4 linked regions of the Arabidopsis thaliana genome follow. The protein of the gene in region 1 interacts with the protein of each later gene in a pairwise test. Each region holds a gene or a part of one and is shown in the gene's direction. Other genes may lie near its edges. The genes, in order: AT4G33920, AT2G24400, AT3G12830 and AT1G79130.

Region 1 (4,777 bases):
CTGGTCAACAAATACAAAAAAATGCGCCGAATTTATCCTTTTTTTTGGTTGAAGTTTGGTTGCGTAGAGTGGTTTAAGTTTTGGTTCGATGGAACTTGAACGTTTTTGTGATTTGAATTAGGTGGGCTTCTTTTGAGTTGTTTTGCTTCATTCAGGCTGTCGATAATGACTTGGAATCGATCTTAGAATGTAAGGTGGATATGTAGTCCAACATTGAATTGTGTTTATGGTTAAAAAGTAAAGAATGATTATTTATTAATTATATACAGTCAAATTAGAGAGTCTTAAGCCGAGATCAATACATTATCCAACGAAATTTCAAATGAGTTTATTTTCTTAACTAATAGTCTATATTCTTGCAACTTCTTTTTGATAACCAAATAAAATGTGTAACCATTCTACAAATGATTTTCATATAGAGATTTGAGTTTAGAAAAGAATAAGCAAGAAGAAGATTCAAGTAGCCTTTGTGTCGAGAAGAAGGTTCAAGGAGCTCTCTTTGTGGGCTATAGAACTGTTGTTTAAGAAAGAAGGTGACTCATTTAATGTTTGGTTCTTGGGGTTCACAGAGCATTGTTCACTGAAGAGAGATGTGATACTAGAGAGATTCTTAGTGAGCATTGACAGAAATAATAGTAGTACTAATTAAGTTTTTTTTTGTTTGATGAATCTTGTATGCATCGGTATAATATGAGTGGATATGCAAATGTTAAAAAAAATAAAATGAATGGATCTATATATGTTGAAAATCACCCTATGATCCATAACAACGATAAATACGCATCCATAATGTTATAAATGTAAAGGTAAACATCATGATCAAAAAAGTTCGACAACTTGGGCCAATGAATTTCCAGTTGCTTCCGCGTATATATATAAGTCCTTCCACGTCAATTTCTTAATCCCAAAATGCAAACCTTTTTATAACAACCAAATAAAAATGTGCCACTTGTAATTAAATATAAATTACTCCATAAGCAATAATATTCATCGTTTTAATAGTATGCTCTAGAACACAGCACACAAAGATTTGTTTTGACCAGAACATGTTTTTTTTCTTATACCGGAAACGGTAACGTGATAATAAAATTAGGTTAATAATAATATAGATACTAAGATGACTAGATTATTAGCAAGAAATTGTATTCAGTTGTTATCCGTCTTTCTTAGTTGACAAGCAAATATATCAGCTACACGTTGGCTACAGGTTACTCATCCTTACCCATTCATTATTCGCTCATTATAACAATTTCCCACTGATATATTCAAATACAAAATATATAAGACACAAAATAGAATTAATTTATTGCTATTTGCAGACGATGTAAACATTTTTGTAGACATGAACAATTTAATTGATTCTTTACTCATCGTAGACATGAATTTATATTTCAAAAGGGTCTACTATTTCTAAATAATATTCAAACATTGACTCTGTAAATCACATATAAATAAATATATATATTATACACTACATTAATATAATATCTCCTATTTCAAAAAGAAATAAAAGTAGCTGTTGAATTTAGATATTTTTTTGTTGGACCGAATCAGAATTTAAGTTTTTGAATTGTTCCAGAAGAAAGATATTTTAGTATAATATACGGCAATGACGTTTATGTTTGGGCCAAAACTTTGTCTATTTATTGAGAAAAATAAAGCTAAATGGAGAAGAATAACAAAAATAAACAACGCGTTGAAAAAAACTGCAAAAAAAAAGAGAAGGGGGAGGGCGAAATTAAAACAAAACGACGCGTAGTCTACGTAGCCTTCTAAGAAACGGCACAAGTACAAGTCATCTCTATCAATATTCTTCTTCTTCTTCCTCACGCGGTTTTCTTTTACCACCACCAACTCAACACACACACGAATCCCTTAAAACCGATCAGATCAAACAAAAACGAACGAATCAAAATTCAATAAAAAAAAACCTTTCGATTTCTCTCATCCAATCGAATCGAAAATCTTGTTATCTCTTTCTCTCTAACTCTACTGCACTCAGAATCTCTCTGTATAGAAAAACCCTAAGTAGGTTGTGATGTTGCGAGCTTTAGCACGGCCTCTCGAACGGTGTTTGGGAAGCAGAGCTAGTGGTGATGGTTTACTCTGGCAATCGGAATTGAGACCTCACGCTGGCGGTGATTATTCGATCGCGGTGGTTCAAGCCAATTCCAGGCTTGAAGATCAGAGTCAGGTTTTCACATCTTCTTCTGCTACTTACGTCGGTGTATACGATGGTCATGGTGGACCTGAAGCTTCTAGATTCGTTAACAGACATCTCTTTCCTTATATGCACAGTAAGTTATAATCCCACTCTTCCTTCCCTAAACTTGTTTTAGGATTCTTTCTTCTTTTGACTCTTTGACTACGTTTTTGATGGTCAAAACTTATGAGATCTCTATTACCCTGATCATTTCAATATTAAAAGATTCGAATTTTGCTATGAAGTTTTGGTCTTTGTGAACATGTTCAGGTTTGTAAATTGCCTCTTGAATTGATTTTGTAGTCATGTTCTTGTTAGTGAAATTTACAGGATTGGTTTTATGATTGCAGAATTTGCAAGAGAACATGGGGGATTATCTGTAGATGTTATCAAAAAGGCATTCAAAGAAACAGAAGAAGAGTTTTGTGGTATGGTTAAACGATCCCTTCCCATGAAACCGCAAATGGCTACTGTAGGATCTTGCTGTCTTGTTGGTGCAATCTCTAATGACACACTGTATGTTGCTAATCTTGGGGACTCGAGAGCCGTTCTTGGAAGCGTTGTTTCAGGGGTTGATAGTAATAAAGGTGCCGTAGCTGAACGGTTATCTACTGATCATAATGTTGCTGTTGAAGAAGTGAGAAAGGAGGTTAAGGCACTTAACCCTGATGACTCACAAATCGTCTTATACACACGTGGAGTTTGGCGGATTAAAGGCATTATTCAGGTATAACTTAGTTTTGCTTGCCTGCTTGTTAAATTGCGTGTGATTACATAGCATCTGTGATGAAGTTATAATATTTAAAAGGTGTAATCTGATGTTGTTTTTTCTTTTCTCTTTTCATTTATATAAATGGGGGCTTGCAATGTTCCAGGAATCCGTCACACGGGCTCCTGCAACGTTTCTTCCCCAGTGGATTTTGTGCTTTTCTAAGAATTCCCGGTAGTCAGAGCTATACATAATAATGAAGATACATGCTTTTTAGTTGCTTGTGACCTTTCCGTGAATGTTTGAGCTCGTTGTATATTAGTTAGCTAAATCGTTTTCATATACGCTTCTTTATAGGTATCGAGATCAATTGGGGATGTATACTTGAAAAAACCGGAGTATTACAGGGACCCGATTTTCCAGCGACATGGAAATCCCATTCCTTTGAGGAGACCCGCGATGACAGCCGAACCCTCCATTATAGTAAGGAAGCTTAAGCCACAGGACTTGTTTCTGATATTTGCATCAGATGGTCTCTGGGAACATCTTAGTGATGAAACAGCCGTAGAAATCGTCCTCAAACACCCAAGAACTGTAAGTTTTCCCTAAACTCAAGTTTGCTTTGTATCTTCACATTTATGTTAGCTACTTAGTTTATTTATTTATTAACTCTGTGTTCTACAGGGTATTGCCCGAAGACTTGTAAGAGCTGCTCTGGAAGAAGCGGCAAAGAAGAGAGAAATGAGATATGGAGATATAAAGAAAATAGCCAAAGGAATTCGACGACATTTCCATGACGACATAAGCGTTATTGTAGTTTATCTAGATCAAAACAAAACCAGTTCATCGAATAGTAAATTGGTGAAGCAAGGAGGTATCACCGCTCCACCGGATATCTACTCATTACACTCTGATGAAGCAGAGCAACGACGGTTACTCAATGTGTTATACTGACTGTTTGATTATGGTAAAATGGCTGCTTGGGAAAGATCCGAATAGGGAGAAAACTTGTTTACATATTTGTTTATTTGTTTTTCTACGAAGAACTGGTTTTTTTTTTTTTTCAATATTGGAGTTGGATTTGTATATTCTTTTACCAGCAAAGAAGGTCGAAACCCTTTAGTTTTTGGGCAAAGCAGTTTTGCTTTTGACACAAACAATACTTTTGTATGAAAATCTAGTGTGAAACCGTTGAGGACAACTCTTCATATATCAGATTGTTTTTTTTTATGACCTTGTATGGAGAGATTAGTATATTGAATTATTTGTCTATAATAACTAAATAAAAACATTATCGATCACAAACCAAAATAAGCCAACAAAATTCCAGATGTTGCCTAAATTTTGGAAAATATGCATGACAGACATTCGAAACTTCAGATCCAAATCAAACCGAAATTGAAATTTGTCAAATATCTAAACCGAATTGAACACGAGCGGTTTTTGAGAATATGAAATTGGGCAGAGCAATTCAAACTCAAAAATTCAACAATTCCAGAAGAACTTTCTCAGAAAAGTTTCGACGGAAGAAAAAGCAAAACGATGAACGTCACTCTTTTGGTCGCAGACGCCGTTTGGTCGAACATTGAATCAACCGGTTCAGGTACTTCACCATTTTACTACTTCTCTCTTTCCTTTTCCTTGTTTACGACATTTTATTCCGTTGAATTTTCCATCTTTTTCTGCAGTAACCGAAGAACAGCTCTCAATGTCAGTTCTCTCTTATACATAGCTGGGATTCTTTATTTTTCCCGAAAATATTTATTGATTTTTCTTCAGTCGTTTGGTATGATTAGGGTTTATCGATTTAATTTTGCAAATACAGCTTGCAGCTGTTGTTTGGTAAGAATCTTGAGAAAGCCACC
Region 2 (3,960 bases), on another chromosome or scaffold:
CACACAAGCCATAGCAAATTTTCACGATTGACATAGAAGTAAAATTGAAGTAACTGTAAAGTTCTGAGTGTAACCTAGGGCACGGATTTTAGCATTAAGCTGATCCAATTCGATATCACCGCCGTCGGATCTAAGTTTCGGTTCATCGCCGCCGTCGATTCCAGCGTCGGCAAAGATACAAGTGGTGAAATTGAAAACCAAGGCGAGAAGAAGTAACAACGCCACGAGTTTCGCGGCCGCCATGTCTGAAACTTCCGTGGAACAAAATAAGAAAGATGATCTCGCCGGAGATTTGCCAACAAGAAGATTTTTCGTTCTCTTCTCCGAATTTATGAATTTGTTTTGTTTGATCAAATTGGGACACTGTTTTTTTTTTTTTTTTATGATTGGAGAAGACGACAAGGTTTTTTGGTTGTGGTTTCGTGATTGACACGTGTCGAACAATTTAGGATATCGGAAGAAAGAAAACTTACTCCTAAAGGTAAATAAAGGCACTGCGATACCATTTTTATTAAATTATCTGAATGATACTTTTTGTAAGAAAAAATCATTAAACAATCTGTGAGTATTAGAATTCTATGAAAAAATGTAATGTTAAAAAAAGAAAGAAACAAATGAGAGATCGAAAATAGACTATCTCTATTACAAATATTGGTCATTCGTTATAGTTGTCGAGGAAAGATATCATATCAGAGTAACCGGAAGCGAAAACTCCAAATATATCACTAATTACGATCATGCATTCAATTGCTTAAAGTAAGGAGTCAACTTCCGCATGAAACGGTGAAAGACATCTTCTCAAACTCTTGAGACCTATATGGAAGATACTATCTTGATCGATTAGGACCCATCCATGTCTGCTTAGATTATCCTCCAAGTGCCAGGAGACATCAATCTGACATTCAGAGATTCGGAGGAAGGGTGTTGGCTAAGTACCGGACGAGAGAGAGAATCTCGATAGCTGCTACTTCATTCATGTTTGATGATTGAAAAACATGGTGTGCGATGTTTTGAGCTATCGAGGAAACTTGCTGAAGAAACCAACATATACAAAGGTATCACACTCCTCTTCAATAATCCCGTAGATAATAGAAAACCCAAAGAAAGATGGAGACTTTATCATTTTAAGGATGGTGAACCACTGAAAGAGACACTTTGCATTCATTACCAAATTTGCTACCTCTTTGGACGTGAGAGAAAGATCCGACATTCCTACTAATCACACATTTTGTAGCAAGCAACATGCTGTTATTCAGTACCGGGAGGTGGAAAAAGAGAAAGAGCCATATGGTATGATGGGAAAGAAGCAAGTGAGGCCTTACATATTATGGATCTTAGTAGTACCTATAAGACTTACATCAATGAAAGTCTGATGGAGACACAACGGTACTATGAGCTTTTTGAGAAAGATACCATAAGATTTGGCAACAGCAGCCGAGAGCACGAGAATGCTGCCGAGTGAATGAAATCAGAGTCAGAAAGCAACAAGTATATCTCAATATTAATTACATAGTTGCGTTTTACAGGGATTTAAGCGATGCTTGAGCCAGCTTTGCCTGTCTGATTTTGGTGACAAAATTTGAGGTTATGTTAAATATCATTTTCTAAGTTCAAGCTGCTTAATTTTGCTTGTCAACAAATTCAAGTTGGTTTAAATCATTAAAAAAAACCAAAGCATATGATTAGCACAATATTTTAAGCAGAAACAAAACTAATTAAATCAGAATTCCGTGGTCACCACCTCTATATATCCCCGATTCTCAATATTCACCACGTCCTAATCACTACACACATAGAAAGAGACAGACGCTAGACAAAACATAGTACCAAACTTCTTGTCTTTTGTCTTCTATCTCCACCATGGAAGCCAAGAAGTCAAACAAGATCAGAGAGATCGTTAAGCTTCAACAGCTTCTCAAGAAATGGCGAAAACAAGCAATTGCATCAAAAGCAGCCAACAACAACAACGAAGACAACAATAGCAGTGGCGGGGGAAGCAAGAGCATCAAGTTTCTGAAGAGGACACTGTCATTTACAGATGTAACAGCTGTGCCTAAAGGGTATCTAGCTGTTTCGGTCGGGTTAGAGAAGAAGAGGTACACAATACCAACCGAGTACCTCAGCCATCAAGCTTTCTATGTTCTTCTGCGTGAGGCAGAAGAAGAGTTCGGGTTTCAACAAGCCGGTGTCTTGAGGATTCCTTGTGAAGTTTCTGTTTTTGAGAGCATATTGAAGATAATGGAGGAGAAGAACGAAGGGTACCTGGTGACGCCAATAACAGCTAAGCAGGAATGTAAGTTCAATGCAGCAGCAGATGATAAGACGAGTTACCAGCATCCATCAGACTGTCCTAAGACTCCTTCACACCAACCTCACAACAGCCCAATGTGCAGATAGTTTTGTTCATTGCTTGCTTCTGCATCTTCTTTTTCCTCCTCTTGTGCTAATTTGAGCCATTCTGCTTATTCCCACTTTTTCTCTAGGAATATGGATTTGTGTGCTTTAAAATTTCTTAATTCTGAGTAAGGGGAGAGATTTCTAAATAGTGGAATGTACAAACAGATCATTGAAACCGTGATGTGGACCTCTGTTCCTGGAGACTCTTTATTCTTTCTCTGCACTGATTTCAATTTTTGTTGCACTACCTCTGACTGATGAAAACTTAAAACGGCTCTTTGATATTTCTCTGCTCTGGTGGAATTTCTCACAAGAACCCACCAGCCCATTGATCTAACCATCTATTCCTGATGACAAATGCAGTAGACTCGTGGTACAATAAAAAATCAAATACTGAATAAGTGAATCAAGCAAAAACACTATCTGAACTTTTACACAAATTTTCATAGATCCTTTGTAATCCAGTCGTCTGCATTTGCAGCACAAGTCAGTAGAAACATATCACGTAGGCAAGATAATTTATGGTAACCGAAGATTTTATTAGTTTGGAATACTATAGAAGTTGATCTATAACCTCAGCAGATAGACCCTTATGCAACTAGAGGTATAATGAGTCATACGAATTAAACATTTGCACTTTGTCGTTTAACTCTAAGCAGAAATCAAGCTCATAATAAGCCAAAATGCTACGCCTATTAAGAAATAAGAAGAGAGAGAGAGAGAACAAAAAAAGAATAGAAAGAATGGTTCATGTTTCTATTTGGGCAGTTTGCGTTCTTTCCGGAACAACCATGTGAATGGAAGTTGCAGAGTTATGTTAAAGTAATCAGAGGTTTAAAATAATATGATAATGTAAGGATAACAATAATTACGGAATGGTACTTTTAATCACCAAGTGGAATGTTGTTTTTAAACTATTCAAAGGCAAAAGTACGGTATCCTAAGCTTCTCTTACAAAAACTAAAGCTAAAATACGGATGCTTAGTAATATAATAAGCTAATAGCAGAGTCACAGAAAAATTCTTACATAAACTAACTAGCTACATTATTGTGATCACATGCATATACGTTCATCTCAAAAGAGTACGGCAATATCAAAAGGACTGACTTTACAATCCCCTAAACCAAACAGGATTCAAGAAAGGAAGAGTAAGATGTTCATAAAATCACATTACATGTTAGTTCTCTGCCAAAATGATTAATGAGAGTCAAAAGTCAAAACAGAAAACATAGAGATCTGATAAAACGGAAAACACCACATGACATCTGTACCTTGAGATTTAACACCATCTAGAACGAATCGCCTAATACATGTGCACTTATCTCCTGAACCTTATATCGAGAATAATGAATTGCAGGTTTCTATAAACTTAAAGACAGCATGATCCAGCAGAAGATTAACAAGAACAAACCATATGCCTTGGAATCATAAAAACAGTTGGGAGTGTACGACATTGACTCAATAGTTTTCTGCTCTAAAGATGGGTGTCGAGGTTATACGTTAAACGACAAGGAAATCCCATTTTTTAAGAATAATCAATGAAATAGATTTAAATATCTACA
Region 3 (3,439 bases), on another chromosome or scaffold:
AAATGGGAAAAGATGTATATAATCAAGTCACAAAACTGAATGTGTATTAATAGATTTGGGCAATATCAATTTATAAAGTCACCTGATCATAAACCTATGATTAATTTGTCATGATTCATGGCTTGAGTGCATTTTGCATAGTCGGATGCTTCTTCTAGAGGTCACAACTTACAAGTAATCTTTTTGTTTTGTGGCAAAGACAAGTAATCTATTATCAACATTAATAGGTATAGCGAATCGTCACTTATGAAGTTTGATTCAATCGAGCATGCAGCTATATATTTTGTAGTATATGAATTAATTATATCACTTATATCCTTGAATGGCTTGTGTTTATATTGTCATGATGGTGATAGATTTTTATGTTTACACAATGAAAACGAAAATTTGTTAAAATTTAATAAGTTTTTTTTGGCTATTTTTTTAATTAGTTATGATCTAAAATAATAGACAGTACAGTGATTAATCTTTGAAAAATATATTACATAATGGAAACTTACAAGTAACTTACATCTTATTTTAGTTTTCAATGATGGTTACGTGAGGATATGAATATGACCAGAAGAAAGCTAAATGAATATTGAAGTCTTTTAAGTCGTTGAGGGTGAGTATGGACTATTTGAATAATCTATACGTACTGGTTCAAAAAGAATTCATAATATTTACACAAATGGTTCATATCTAATCACTTGGTCCAAATTCTAGAAGCCTTTTATGTCATTTTCTTGGGGTCAACAGAAGTTGAAGCTCCACATTTTGTTTTGTAATATTTCCATCCAGAATATTTAGTTTGTATAATTGTATTTGATTTATGAAATTTAAAATCCAGCCTATATAGTAGACTTTGTAACCAGATTCTGAAGGCATCATTTATTCCTATGGGGATTTAAGACTTAGGCCATATGATAGATCACATATTCAATAAAAACCATGAACATTGTTACGAGTATGAAACCATATATTTAAATGGCTATATACGCTATCTTACAATATAAATTTGTATGCAATTAACTATTTCCATATACAAAATTAACTAACTTTTCCACACTTCATCCATATTTAATTTCTAGCTTATTATTTAATATATTGAAAATATAATTATTAACGAGGGGATCTTTTGATAAAAAAAAACGAGGGGATCTATCTTTCTCTACACCTTATATTTTGAGTAGGATTAAAGAAAGAAATGTAAAAATTGGATATGTAAAAATTTTCCAAAGTGGAATTGGATATCCAGTCTTAGTTGAAGTAGGATAATAGATGATTAGATGAAATGATATTAACTACATGTACATGATATAGGATTACAAAGTATATGGATTAATCTAAACAAAGATATATAACCCTTTTTTTTAATTTGCTTGAATGAAAATTGTATTTTGAACATTATATTGGCCTCTTGTAAATTATAATCAGTTTACCATGAATAATGTTATTATTTTCCTGATAACTACTTGTAATTAATTTTACAACATCATTAAGATATATTTTGGGTTGCTCATGAACCTCGTGTATCTATTACTAACAAGAAAAAAACTATATCTAATCTTTCAATAAATTGGTAGAATAACCAAGGTAAATTAATTGCTATTTTAATTCCAATTATGATCAGAAAATACAATAATATCATTATACTCAAAAAAGATTATGATAATGCGGGGATATATATTGTTAATGGAAATCCAAACAGTTATCTAAGAGAATAAAAAAATCTTAAAAAAATAATCAAAGATTTACATCAAATGAATATGATATTTTATCATATTATATATTTTTAGGATTTTATATATTTTTCAAAGTCAGTGGAAAATTACGAGTAAGTGTGTGTACCTGGCAAGTACTCCTTCCCCGTACCTACTTTATCAAATACACATTCCCCAAAATACCCTCGACTCAATATAAAATCCAAAACCTTCCCTCACTCTCTCCTTCACAAAATTCTCATTGATTCTCTCTCGAATTCTCAAACATCCGTTTTCAGTACCAATCACCAAAAGTTTCTCTCTTCTCTCTCTCAAAGTCACAACACGAAGACGATGAAGCAACTAATCCGTCGTCTCTCTCGCGTCGCTGATTCCGCTCAATACAGTCTCCTCCGTTCCGATTCACAGCGACCTAGCCGCCGTTCCGAATCCTTCCTCCGTTCTTCGGTGACTCGCCGCTCAAAGAAGCAAACCTCCTCTGTTCCCGAAGGACACGTACCGGTCTACGTAGGTGACGAGATGGAGAGGTTCGTCGTTAGCGCGGAGCTACTTAACCATCCGGTTTTCATCGGTTTACTAAACCGATCTGCTCAAGAGTATGGTTACGAGCAAAAAGGAGTTCTACAAATCCCTTGCCATGTCCTTGTCTTCGAACGAATCATGGAATCGCTTCGTCTTGGACTTCCGGTACCGATTGATGTTCAGGATCTAATCGGTGACGGGACTATTTGAAGAAGAAGCTTTTATTGGAAGGAATCTTGGTAGTTAGAGAAGTTTTTTTTTCTTCTAGATCTGGTTGTTTTTGTTCAGATACTACTGAGTCATCATACTTCGTCGTCGTGTCGATGTAAATAGGTATATAATTTTTCCAGGATCCAAAAGTGGAAGAGGAGACGCATTTAGGGATTTTCTTTCTCTTTGTTGTTTGCAAATTTTCTAATTTTTTCGCCGGTTTTAAAAATCGGTTTGAAATTCTTGTGAAGTTTTTTTATATGGAAAATTTGCATCAGTTTGGATCTCTTTAATTTCTGGGTTTATTTGACATGATTACAGTTTTTTTTGTTCAAGTTAAACAAAAAGAGGATTTTGATGTTTCACCGAGATTATCGGCAGGGTAAATCCGTCAATGCGATACATCAAGGGGATATGATAAACTGTAATCTGTGGCCGTTACTATAATATTTTTAACCCGATACTCAAGTAGTTATCTGTTACCTTTAGCTTCTCTAGAAGAGAGTATATCTTTTGGTAAGTAATGCCAAAGATTCATAATAAAATATAGAAAAAAATAATTGAAATTCATAAAAAAAAAACTAGTGAAACCATGTGGGTTTGCATCTGTAGTTACATTCTTTCAGATCCAAAACACAAGCTTGATTCCAAGCCCAATACAGTATTATATAGACCACAAATATTGAAACTAACATTTGTTTCTGGCGTTCCAGTGTCTATCTAACCATAATTGAATGAGCTATGAATTCGGTTAACATGGTGAATCTTCAGCTAGTAGACAAATGAGTTGGTTTTAAAAGGGCAAATACTAACACTTTTATCATTATATATGGGATCTCACTTTATTTGCACCGTTGGCACTTATCTAATTCACACATTACACATAATGGTTTAGACATATTTTTAGGTAACCTTCGTTTTATGTTTAATCAGCTTTACTTATATAGAAACACCACCACATGTTTATATATGCGACCCGAGTGAGCAACATGTGGAGGTTTAAC
Region 4 (3,209 bases), on another chromosome or scaffold:
AATTAGTAGACATTGAAGACGTGAAAAGCCGATGATGATCATCTCTGCAACATGATCCGTAAGAGTTAGATTGATATCGGAGCGGAAAGCATCGTTTCATTGATTGATCGGCGTGGAAAGTATCGTTGATCCAATCTCGTAAAGCCGATAGGATTCATGTAGAGCCACTCTCGGCAACAAATCCATCCGGTTATTTTCCTTGTTAAGAAGATCTCAACGGATTCATCTCAGAACCTACCCGTAAGAGATGGATCGTCTCGTTTCGTATATTGATTTATATCCTCTGTTGTGCATTTGATATCATAACAGTCAAACCCTAATTCCATATGGATCACCACCGCAACACTTTCACCGGCGGCTAATGATGCGAGGAAGAAAGTGGCAAAAGAGGGACAGTGAAACCGAAGACTATATAGCAGCTTTGGAGTTTCGATGGTTCAACGATTCAGCAAATCCAGGTTTTTGGCTTTCCCAATTTTTTTTTATTAATTAATTTTGATTTTAAGGGTATTTTTGGCAATATATTTCAAATAAACATTTTAAATATAAAAATATTTTTTTAAAAAAAAGATTTAAATTAAAGTGGTAATTTAAAACTTTAAACTTTAAGAAAATAATTGATAAAATTTAACTAAAACAATGTTAATTTCATTATTAATTTTTGAAAGTTAGTTTAAGTGTTAAATTTTAAAAATATCGAAAACTAACCGCGCCTAGGCATCCCGTCCTTAGTTGGTCCGTAAGTTTTGTGGTGTTCGAAGTTCGGCATGGTTTTCACGTAATATAGATTTAACACTTAAACTCATTTTTAAAAAATAATAATAATTTTCACTAAAAAAAATTAGAACAATTTTAAAATAACTGATAAATTTTAACTAAAACCATGTTAATTTTACAGTTTACTTTTTAAAAATAAGTTTAAGTGTTAATTTTGAAAACGTCGAAAACTAACCACGCCTAGACATCCCTTTCAAGCTCGTGAATACTCATTTCCATCTCATGGAGTTTCTTCCTCAATTCGACCACCTCTTCCTCCAAATTCGACACTTTACAGATAATCGCCTCTTCGCGAGATCCAGTTGCTCGAAAGAATCCGTCGGAATTATCGATAGAATCTCAATAGGGAGCTCAAAATCCGATCGACCTTCTTTGACTATTCCAAAAATCTCGACATCTCTTACGTGAATCTTTTTAGGGTTTGATGGAAAAGACACAAAGAAGATTAGGAATCTAAGAATTTTTCTCACTAATGATTATTTGTCTTCTATTTAATTTGGCTACAAGCTTTGTTTCTTGTTCTCCCACGTTTAAACACTCTTTTCCCTCCAAAAAAAGTCAAAGATGAACATTAATTTTGTGTTCGTTTACTTTCTTATGAAATCTAGTCAAAGAAGAATATTAATTCCAGAAATACAATTAAATAAATTATGATACAAAAACCATCTATCAATATTTATATTTTTGTTATTTTGCTAAATTATACTCTTTTTCTTTTATATATATATGAAAATATATATACATGGAAAGCAAATAAAAAGTAAATTAATAAATACTACGTCTTTTTCTTATCCACTCGTCTCTGTGTATTTATATGTTAATTTACCATCAAACGGGAAAATTACGTATTCATGGTAAGAAATAGATTAATAAATACAACGGATTTTTATCTACATAGTCTCTTGGTTTATTCTGTACATTTCATCATACATAAAAAAGTCTAAAATTAATTTGTACAATAATCAAAATTTGATTTTAGCAATCCACATTTGTTAACAATTACCCTTACTATTCTTATTTGTAATTTGACTAATGTAAGTGAGGAAAGTTTTGAAAATAAACCAAATTTAGAGAATTTCTCATATTGCATAATCAAAATTAGGTAGTTCTTTCAATTGTTAAATTGACCATGACTCATTATGTTAACACATATATGTATGAAATAAATTAAATACCATTTTTGTGTCATCTCAAAATATAATAATACTTAATATACACATTTCTGATAAGCTTAATGTGAGTCCACACCTCTCTCCCATATTTATGTCTCTCTGTCTCTAGCATTTTTGGCTGTCTAGGATCAAAGATGAAGCCTCTGATTCGACGTCTGTCACGAATCGCAGACTCATCCTCCTGCAACCGAAATCGCAGCGGCGATATCCATCACCCGACGTCAACGTACTCCTCTTCAGTTTTCTTGGTCAAGCGAGCAACCGTCGCGTCGAGTGTTCCTTCCGGTCACGTTCCCGTCAACGTAGGCGAAGATAAGGAGAGGTTCGTGGTGAGTGCAGAGCTGCTGAATCATCCTGTTTTCGTTGGATTGCTGAATCGATCAGCTCAAGAATACGGATACACTCAGAAAGGAGTTCTTCATATTCCTTGTAACGTATTCGTGTTCGAGCAGGTTGTAGAGTCTCTCCGATCTGGCATCGCTGATGATACATCGGAGCTCATTGCATCGTTATCTGGTGAAGATGTATCTACAGAGTAGATGATGATGATTCTGTTTTTTTTTTGTTCTTCGATCTTCTCCTTTTTTATTTGAGTGATCGGAGAAATTCGTCTTGATGATTTGGATATGAAAATTGTTTTTTCGATTTTATCTCAAAATTATCAATTTAATTTGTACTGTGAAATAAAATTGAAGTGACAAAATACAAGTTATTTCACGTACCGTACTACGGATCATCATCAACTATATAATAATAATAATTATTTTAAATTTGAAGTCAATATGAATTATATATCCATGATATCGTCCCAACACCTAACATTTAATTGATTGAAAAGTTCAGATATATGATGCGATGTGAGTCTTGCGTGGATAATACACTATGAAAAGATGTAAATCCACTATAATGATTACACATATTTTTTATTGAATTTTTGTACTTATTAATTGAAGACCTATGATAATTCGAAAAAAATATAGTATAAAGTAGCAAATATCTTGTAGTAACGACGAGAGACTTATAGTTATAGGTGTATTAAAATGGGGTCTAGAACAAAAGGTCTCAACATGGCCGTATCTTCTTGTACCGTTGTACGGCTGGACTTTTTTTTTTTGTGGGGAACAATTTGCTGTTCACAGCGTACAACATACATTAGCTGAGATCTCCATCTCTATTTTTATAACAAAGTAAACGGTTTGTGGCGAACTGTTAGTGGATTAGAGGATGATTTGCGTATCTTTCAACTCTATGGCACATGTA

The links.
Region 2: the proteins of AT4G33920 (region 1) and AT2G24400 interact in a two-hybrid assay, tested with the Arabidopsis thaliana proteins (one large-scale study listed by BioGRID).
Region 3: the proteins of AT4G33920 (region 1) and AT3G12830 interact in a two-hybrid assay, tested with the Arabidopsis thaliana proteins (one large-scale study listed by BioGRID).
Region 4: the proteins of AT4G33920 (region 1) and AT1G79130 interact in a two-hybrid assay, tested with the Arabidopsis thaliana proteins (one large-scale study listed by BioGRID).

What each region holds. Positions count from the first base shown.
Region 1 is NC_003075.7:16,258,838-16,263,614, forward strand, and holds AT4G33920 (Protein phosphatase 2C family protein), read left to right. Parts: upstream 1-1,670; 5' UTR 1,671-2,038; coding exon 2,039-2,297; exon of another isoform or gene 2,298-2,543; coding exon of another isoform or gene 2,544-2,553; coding exon 2,554-2,930; intron 2,931-3,269; coding exon 3,270-3,506; intron 3,507-3,596; coding exon 3,597-3,866; 3' UTR 3,867-4,217; downstream 4,218-4,777. Other genes in the region: SSN2 (zinc finger SWIM domain protein), read left to right, coding at 4,455-4,515, 4,601-4,622, 4,738-4,777. UniProt on the Arabidopsis thaliana protein: May dephosphorylate and repress plasma membrane H(+)-ATPases (PM H(+)-ATPases, e.g. AHA1 and AHA2), thus influencing negatively plant growth and fitness.
Region 2 is NC_003071.7:10,376,430-10,380,389, reverse strand, and holds AT2G24400 (SAUR-like auxin-responsive protein family), read left to right. Parts: upstream 1-1,744; 5' UTR 1,745-1,860; coding exon 1,861-2,397; 3' UTR 2,398-3,434; downstream 3,435-3,960. Other genes in the region: AT2G24420 (DNA repair ATPase-like protein), read right to left, coding at 75-243; AT2G24410 (SMAD/FHA domain protein), read left to right, coding at 983-1,219.
Region 3 is NC_003074.8:4,078,113-4,081,551, reverse strand, and holds AT3G12830 (SAUR-like auxin-responsive protein family), read left to right. Parts: upstream 1-1,924; 5' UTR 1,925-2,036; coding exon 2,037-2,435; 3' UTR 2,436-2,901; downstream 2,902-3,439. UniProt on the Arabidopsis thaliana protein: Provide a mechanistic link between auxin and plasma membrane H(+)-ATPases (PM H(+)-ATPases, e.g.
Region 4 is NC_003070.9:29,769,236-29,772,444, forward strand, and holds AT1G79130 (SAUR-like auxin-responsive protein family), read left to right. Parts: upstream 1-1,982; 5' UTR 1,983-2,083; coding exon 2,084-2,488; 3' UTR 2,489-2,652; downstream 2,653-3,209. UniProt on the Arabidopsis thaliana protein: Provide a mechanistic link between auxin and plasma membrane H(+)-ATPases (PM H(+)-ATPases, e.g.